Caenorhabditis elegans: one gene and its partner. The protein of the gene in region 1 interacts with the protein of each later gene in a pairwise test. Each region holds a gene or a part of one and is shown in the gene's direction. Other genes may lie near its edges.

The links.
Region 2: the proteins of dpy-11 (region 1) and ugt-3 interact in a two-hybrid assay, tested with the Caenorhabditis elegans proteins (one large-scale study listed by BioGRID).

Annotation. Positions count from the first base shown.
Region 1 is NC_003283.11:6,511,439-6,515,367, reverse strand, and holds dpy-11 (Thioredoxin-related transmembrane protein 1), read left to right. Parts: upstream 1-2,021; 5' UTR 2,022-2,022; coding exon 2,023-2,159; intron 2,160-2,485; coding exon 2,486-2,647; intron 2,648-2,701; coding exon 2,702-2,830; intron 2,831-2,878; coding exon 2,879-3,026; intron 3,027-3,071; coding exon 3,072-3,162; intron 3,163-3,212; coding exon 3,213-3,286; 3' UTR 3,287-3,783; downstream 3,784-3,929.
Region 2 is NC_003283.11:12,798,405-12,802,333, reverse strand, and holds the start of ugt-3 (glucuronosyltransferase), read left to right. Parts: upstream 1-2,062; 5' UTR 2,063-2,140; coding exon 2,141-2,281; intron 2,282-2,330; coding exon 2,331-2,556; intron 2,557-2,602; coding exon 2,603-2,692; intron 2,693-2,738; coding exon 2,739-3,457; intron 3,458-3,593; coding exon 3,594-3,929.

The DNA of each region.
Region 1 (3,929 bases):
GTAAAAAAAGAAGTAGGCCGTCTTGTCGTTTTTGTAAATGTATTATGTATTCAGTTATTGAACAATGAATTTATTGCATCTTCGGATCGAATTGTTTCAATCTATCTTTCGAAATAACTTGTGACTCGTTTCTGATTTCGTATATCTGTTTATTTCTGGAAGCTAGCAATCAATCTGCCAACGTGGAGGATATGGGTTTGCAAGAATAAAGAAGAAGACAAATCATCTGTACAGAAAGCAGGTTCTAGGCGAGAGAATCGCGAGAAGTAGCGAAATGAGGGTACGAGGAAGAGGCGGTGTGTTGACCATTCATTCCAGCAATCCTTATTCCTTCCGTGTTGGATAACGACCTGTCCCCAGGCGTTTCTATGGCTTTTTCCTCCCATTTTGATCGTTGAAACAGAGATGTTTGCTTTTTTAGAATTAAATTTATGCAACTTTTTAGACTGTGCACTTAAATAGAAGATCTAGAAATAATTAAACGAATTTTAAATGCATAGTCGCAGTAGTAATAGTAAATTGACTAAAGAAAATCATTTTTTAATTTTTAAACAATTTTTAATGAAAGTTTATCTCTGAATCTTTTGAATATCCCTTGTGTAAATTTGTACTTGACCAATTGTTCCAAATTTGTAAATATCAGTTTTTGCAGAAGCAACTACTTTTCGTTGAAAAAATTCACTTTTAAAATAGTGAGACTAGGTGAAAATGTTGTGAATTTTGGCATTTATAGCTACCACGATCGTGGCGAGACCCACTCAGATTAACAGCGTGTGCCTTTAAGTGACTTTTGACTTTTTCCCTAAATTACGATATTAAAAAACTTCCCATGCTTTTTTTTTCATTTTTTAAAATCAAAATTTGCCACAATAGTAGGATTGGAATTTATTCCATGTTTGAGGCTTCTCTAAAAACAAATTTCTAAATAATTTAGAGTTTTGTTTTAATCTTTTCTTTCTCCTATTTCACTTCTTAAATCTCATTTTCTTATCTTGGCAAAGTAACCTAATAGTCAAATCGATTGGCTTGTTGATCTTCACCATAATTTGACCCAAATCAGCTCGCCGCGTCGGTTTTTTTTAATTGACCGATTAGTCGCTATCACAGACGCTATTCATTAATAAACGTCAGCAGGAAGACCTAGTAATCTAGTTATCCACTTCACAACTCGATCAATAATTGCGGATCGGCGTGTTTCAACGAATACGGGAAGACAAGAGAGAGATAAGTTGTTTTTAGTGTGTGTGTATGGGTGAGTGTACGACAGTACCTACATACTGGAGGGGGAATATCCTTGACCCTTTGAGCGCGGACGATGCGACTTCCACCTTCTTTTTAATACATGCTCTGGATACAAGATATCTACCCATTTTTGTTTCTTTTTCTTTGTAGAAATTAATTATTGATCTGTAACTGTGAGGGCAGCAAAAATATTATAAGCCGATTATTTTTTCGCAATTCCAAAATGGACAATATGACTTGCATAATTTGATTACTGAAAAAAAGTGGGCCTTTATAATTTCGACATGAGCATTAACGCTCATATTTTCTGTTAGACAAACAATCTGTGGGTATTTGGTATTTGCAAATAAATATATTTGCATTGGCATTACAGAATCATACTATTTCCCCGCTATTCTGCAAGTTGTGTACAGGCTCAGTTGGTCTACTCTTGATGTTTTGATAGTTGTCTCTTTTTGGTTTTTTTCCTGTAGAAGATGGCTAGTAATACGTGGCTTAAGAACAAGATGAAACCGGTAGCCTTCTTTTTTCTCTTTTCGAACTGCAAAACGAACTGCGGCGACGGCGATAATGTGTGTGCGTGTCTGCCGACCGTACACCCCGCCGCCGAGATATATCCCTTCACTCCGACCGACGTCTTCCTCTTGTGTCTTCTCTTCACACCATAGGCGCTGCTTTTCGTTTTCAATCTTCCGCTTTCTATGTTTCTCTACATTCCTTCAATTCTTCATCATCCTTCCTGGTCACTCTATGACATCTATAAAACAAGTCAATTCCAGAATGCTGCTCCGATTGCTCGCCGTGCTCGGACTTTTCGCCGTTGGAGTCTCGGGGGGACCTACCAGATCTTCCAAGCTCGTCTTTCTCAATGAGGAAAACTGGACAGATCTTATGAAGGGAGAGTGGATGATTGAATTGTAAGTTGTTTCATTGAAAGCTCCAATTTGGAACAATGTATATAGTTTGTACTTGGTAGAATTAACTACTAAGGTTCTCAAGCATACACTTTAAAAACATTTTAATTAGTTACAAAACTACAAAATTGATAACTGATAAATTTTTAAAAATCCGCCGAGATGAAAATCTCAATTAAATTCCATCTTACTAGTACCTATGATATGAAAAGATATAGAGTAGAATCTTTTCATAATTTGAATTCACTGTTGGTTATTAGAATCTTTCTAAATAGCTATAGAAGAGTTAGGTCTAGATCATTTGAAAAAAATAACTTTTAAAATTCCAGCCATGCTCCATGGTGCCCAGCTTGCAAGGATCTTCAAAAAGCATGGAACGCATTCGCCGACTGGTCTGATGATCTTGGAATCAAGGTTGGAGAAGTCGATGTTACCGTCAATCCAGGACTTTCCGGTAGATTCCTTGTCACAGCTCTCCCAACAATTTATCAGTGAGTTTTTGAAAGCTATTTATTTCTACAAAAATCGAACGTTTTTTTTTTCAGCGTCAAGGATGGTGTCTTCCGTCAATATTCTGGAGCTCGTGACAAGAATGACTTCATTTCATTCGTCGAGGATAAGAAATACCGTGTGATCGACCCAGTTCCAGACTACAAGCATCCAAACTCTAAGCAGTACGCTTTTTTGTGGCACAGCAAAAATAATATTATAATTTTTTTCAGAATGGCCGTCGTTGCCGTCTTCTTCAAACTTTCGATGTCGGTTCGTGACTTGCACAACCATCTCGTCGAAGATAAGGGAATCCCATCATGGGCCAGCTACGGACTCTTCGCCGGAGTTACTCTTGCTCTCGGATGTGTTCTTGGATTCGTGAGTTTTTTAAATAGAAATTTCTGTAAACATCGTGATTTCCAGTTCATCGTTATCATCATCGACCAAGTATTCCCTACTGGACCAAGAAAAAGCCAACAAGCCAAGAAAACCGAGAAGAAAGACGCAAAGAAAGGTACTTTAAAATATTCGGATTCTGATTTCTAAAAATTTATTTATTTTCAGATTCTGGAACTGAATCTCCGACAAAGAAAAATGGAAATAACAATAATGGCAAAGAAACGAAGAAGACCAAGTAAATTCTATGCAACTTCCAAAAACCCCAATTGTTTTACCTTTTGTGCATCTTGTTATTTTATTTCAAATTATAATTTAAAAACTTCAAAATGTTTCATATTTATCCCAAACCAGCAGTCTCTGCCCCAAGTTTTTGAATTTTAAAAAATTTGTTAATTATAAGTATTGCCGTCCCCCAAGATATATATAAGTCACTTCTTCCTATGGGTTCCCGTCTTTTTTGTCTCTTTTGTTTTCACCAATGCTTCTCTCCTTCTGCGCATTTCATTTCGGACTCTGCAACGACGACACGTAATTAAAGCGACATCTCTTGCTGCGAGAGCCAGTCGGTGCTGGTCGAGTGTGTGTTCGCTTTGGCGTCGTCACGCCTTCTTTCCCTGCTGCTTTTCGCTCCTCATTCAATGCATTGATCCGTTTGTCCGTTTTTTTGTCCTCTGCTTTCTCTCAAATATTTCACTTTTTACGAAAAAAGTTGTTAATAAATCATAATTCAATTAAAACCTTTTTTGATAATTCAGAAATATATTAGCGCATTGGGTATTCACAATATTATGCTATTGATTGGCTTTTTTGAGCAGACCCGTAAACAACTATTGTTCGAGAAAAATTCTTTGCATTTATTTTTCATAGGAAGATTTTCATAAA
Region 2 (3,929 bases), 6.3 Mb from region 1:
ATTCTTTCTATTGAAATAATTGCGGCAATCCAAGATCTCATTTCTAGGAACGTGTTAGAAAAAACACCGACAAAGAATGAAACTTCGAAACAATTTCTGATAATATTAACGTAATTATAGTACTTATAAAATAAATAGCACCTAAACAAAGAAAATTTCAACATATGTTCTGCAAACGCCTAACTCGCAATAAAAATTAGTTGATATTCTATCTTCTTCCATGTTTTACTGAAATTAGTTATCAGTATTAACTCTCAGGAACCAGAATAAACTTACAAAATAAATTTCTGCAAAATATTAGGTTGAACCGGAAATCTTTGTGACTGGGTTTGCTTTTCCAACGCTAGCCGCAGTTGCACTTTGGTGTTCCCTTGTTGCTAGGGTATAACAACGAGTAAAGGAACTTCATTTTGAAAATCACCCCACTCCTTTCCCTTTGGTCTGAGTTCAGTTAGCCGACAATGTATTTATCTAGTGCCATCCACATCCGACATGGTTCGATGCACCTTTTTCTCTCTCATACCACGATGAAGGATTCGGAAAGTCTCCTGAAGGATGTTTATCATCGACATGTCCGCCACTATAATACTATATACATTTGGTTCCATCACTTCGAAAAGGACGACTTTTCTCTCGAAGACTCTGAGACCCCATAAATTGGATTTGGACACGTTGCAGAAAGCCATGGCAACGGATCCTTTCCAAACCTCCCGTGAGCTGTCAACCGCACTTCAATCCTATCAAACCATCATCGTACGGGGCTGGGAAGCTCTTGGAATGAAGAAAATTATGGGTCGATTCATACCTCACTCTTCGACACAAGCCAACCATGATTTTTGAGTGGATGATTCCATTTCACCCCTCACTCTCCATGGGGCCGATCGATGTTTGGGCCGACTCATCACTGGAACCGAGAAGTGGGTCCTCCATGATAAGAACCACACGCGTGCCCAGTGGTTTGTAGAAGGAGAAACCCCACAGGGTGCCGCCAAACCCGACCTTAACCCCAAAAACGTCATGCTCTCAGTGTGGTGGGGAGTGTACGGCCCCATCAACTGGGAACTGCTTCCTGGGGGCAAAATAGTTAATGGGGACCTTTAAGTTATCTAACCACAAAACCTAAGGAACATATTCAATCGTTCACCCCTGAAGGACGAGCAACTCTACTTTCAACAAAACAACGCTTATCCCTACGTCACGAAACAAGTATTGCAGGAACTGGTCAGGTATGAATGGATGATTTTCCTTCACCCACCGTATTCTTCAGACCATGCCCCATCTGCATACTGACAGTTTTCAGATATGACTCGTGATCTCCGGGAAAGAACCTTCAATACCCATGGAAGTGTCGAATTGGCACTCAAGCATTATTTCGACTCGCGCCTGGAAGGGTTCTGTGAGCAGGGCCTTCATAAGTTGCCCACACGTTGGCAGTACATTGCTGATAATAATAGCAAATAAATATTATTCTGTCGTTTCTCTTGCTCCGAGAAATAAACGATTGAAAAAGTCACAAAGACTTCCGGTTCAACCTAATATATAAACAAATAACTTTCGTTGTCGCGGTTACAATAATTCCAAGAATTGTAGAAACCCAATAACATAGGTAGAACTGTCATACTTCATACTGTCACAATTGATCAACAAATTCACAGAATAACAAAAAATTTGAAAAATTCCATGTATTAGACATCAGACAGGAACAATAATTGATAGTTTTGGATACGTGAAGCCAATGTTTTTGAAGTCTATTGGAGGCATAGATTTACCAGAGTAAAACTAGATTTTCATAATAAACTTATAAAAATTATCAAAGCAAATTTCAGGCAAATCTCTAAATTGACAAACATTTTTGGACACTTTCGAGATGAACTACTTACATGAATACATACTCTAATGCTGACTACACATTCCATTTCTTTATTTTTCTTACGTCTTTTGTTTCTTGTAATTTTTCATCGAGAACAGAGAACATAGAAATAGACACTCCAAGTAAAGAGAGATAATGTTAAAATGCAAGAGACGGTTTCAAATCGGGCGCTGATCATTTGAAAAGTTTGCAACTGAACTTAGTCTGAGTGGTATAAAATGCCTGAAAAAAATTAAGAGAATATGTTGAAGTCTAATTCTCGAACTCAAAATGAGGTACTTATTATTATTAGCATTTTTTCCCGTTGCTTTCGGGTTCAATTATCTTATTATTTCCCCAGTTTTTGGGTACAGTCATATGAAATTTATGGGAAGAATTGCAGACATCCTTGCTGATGCTGGACATAATGTGGTAAGGTTTACTTATTTAAATATTAAATTTCTTATAAGTTCGATTTTAGACTTTATTCCAACCAATAATTTATGATTACTATGCACACAAAAAAATTGTGAAGAATCCGAACATTGAAGTGATTAATTATGAAGTCGATGAAGAAGAAAAAGCTGCAGCTTCTGAAGCGAGTGTTTTCAAGTTTTTCTGGAAAGCAAAAGGATCTAAAAACCCAATCTCTTCTGCAAAAATTACATCAGAAAAACTTTACAAAGAGTTTGAGCATATTTGTAGAAGTAAGATTCATAGTTTTGTTTCAAAAATGCATTCATCAATTTTTAGAAATGCTTTTGGACAAGGAACTTCATCGTTGGATTCTATCGAAAAACTTTGACTCCCACATATCAGAGGCATTTGATTTTTGTGGTTTATGTAAGTAATAATTTAATTTACAATCAAAGTGAATAATCAATGTTAGATCTTGGAGACTTCTTGAAACTAAAATCACCAATCCCTCTCTATAGTGGAGTTCGATGTGGAGCAGCTTCATACGCTGTGGGTGAACCTATTCCATTGAATTACTTACCAACAGAGGGGTCTAATTATGGGAAGAAATCGAGCGCAATTGACCGATTAAGTGACATGCTTGGACTAACCGGTTATCACTTTCAATTCGGGATTTTGTTTGATAAACAATATGATCAAGCTTACCGATTAACTGGTGGAAATGTCCGAACTTGGCAAGAAATACTTCAAAGCTCCACGTTTTTCTTGACAAACTCCAATCCTTACTTATCATTTTCAACACCAACAATTTCAAAAGTGATTCAAATTGGAGGTTTCACTATTGAATCATTCAAAACAACTACACTCGATGAAGAATTTAACAAAATACTTTCGCTCAGAAACAACACCATTCTAGTGTCTTTTGGAACAGTTATTCAATCATCAGATATGCCAGATGATTTCAAAACTGGACTTATTGAAGCATTTCGCAGAATGCCAGATGCTACATTTATCTGGAAATATGAAGAGGATGATAAGACGTTGAAGAATAAACTTTCTGAAAACGTAGTTTTAAGCAAGTGGATTCCTCAGCCAGCTCTGTTAGCAGACAGTCGATTAGATTTGTTTGTGACTCATGGAGGTTTGGGAAGTACTATGGAAGTTGGATATGCAGGAGTGTCAAGTATTATGGTAAGTGAGATAATTCACTTCTGGTTTCACTATTTTCCTGTAAACTTTTGAAATATTTTTTCATCCAGATTCATGATTAGAATATAAAAATGTTTTACCACCCGCTAACCTTCTTGTATCAAACGTATATTTTCAGGTTCCTGTATTCAGTGATCAAGGAGTAAATGCAGAGATGTTAGCTCGCCATGGTGGTGCCATTGTCTATGACAAATTTGATCTTGTCGATAGCAAGAAACTAATGGAGACGATCCAGATGATTCTCAATAATTCTGATTACAGAAAGAATTCGAAACGTCTTTCTGATATTCTTCATAATCAACCAATGGATCCGAAGCAAGTACTTCTAAATCATTGCGAATTTGCGGCTCGATTTGCACAGGTTGATAATTTAGAACCATACGCCAATAAATACAACTTTATCGAATTTTATTGTCTTGACAGTCTAGCATTGGTTGTTTGTACAATTTCTGTT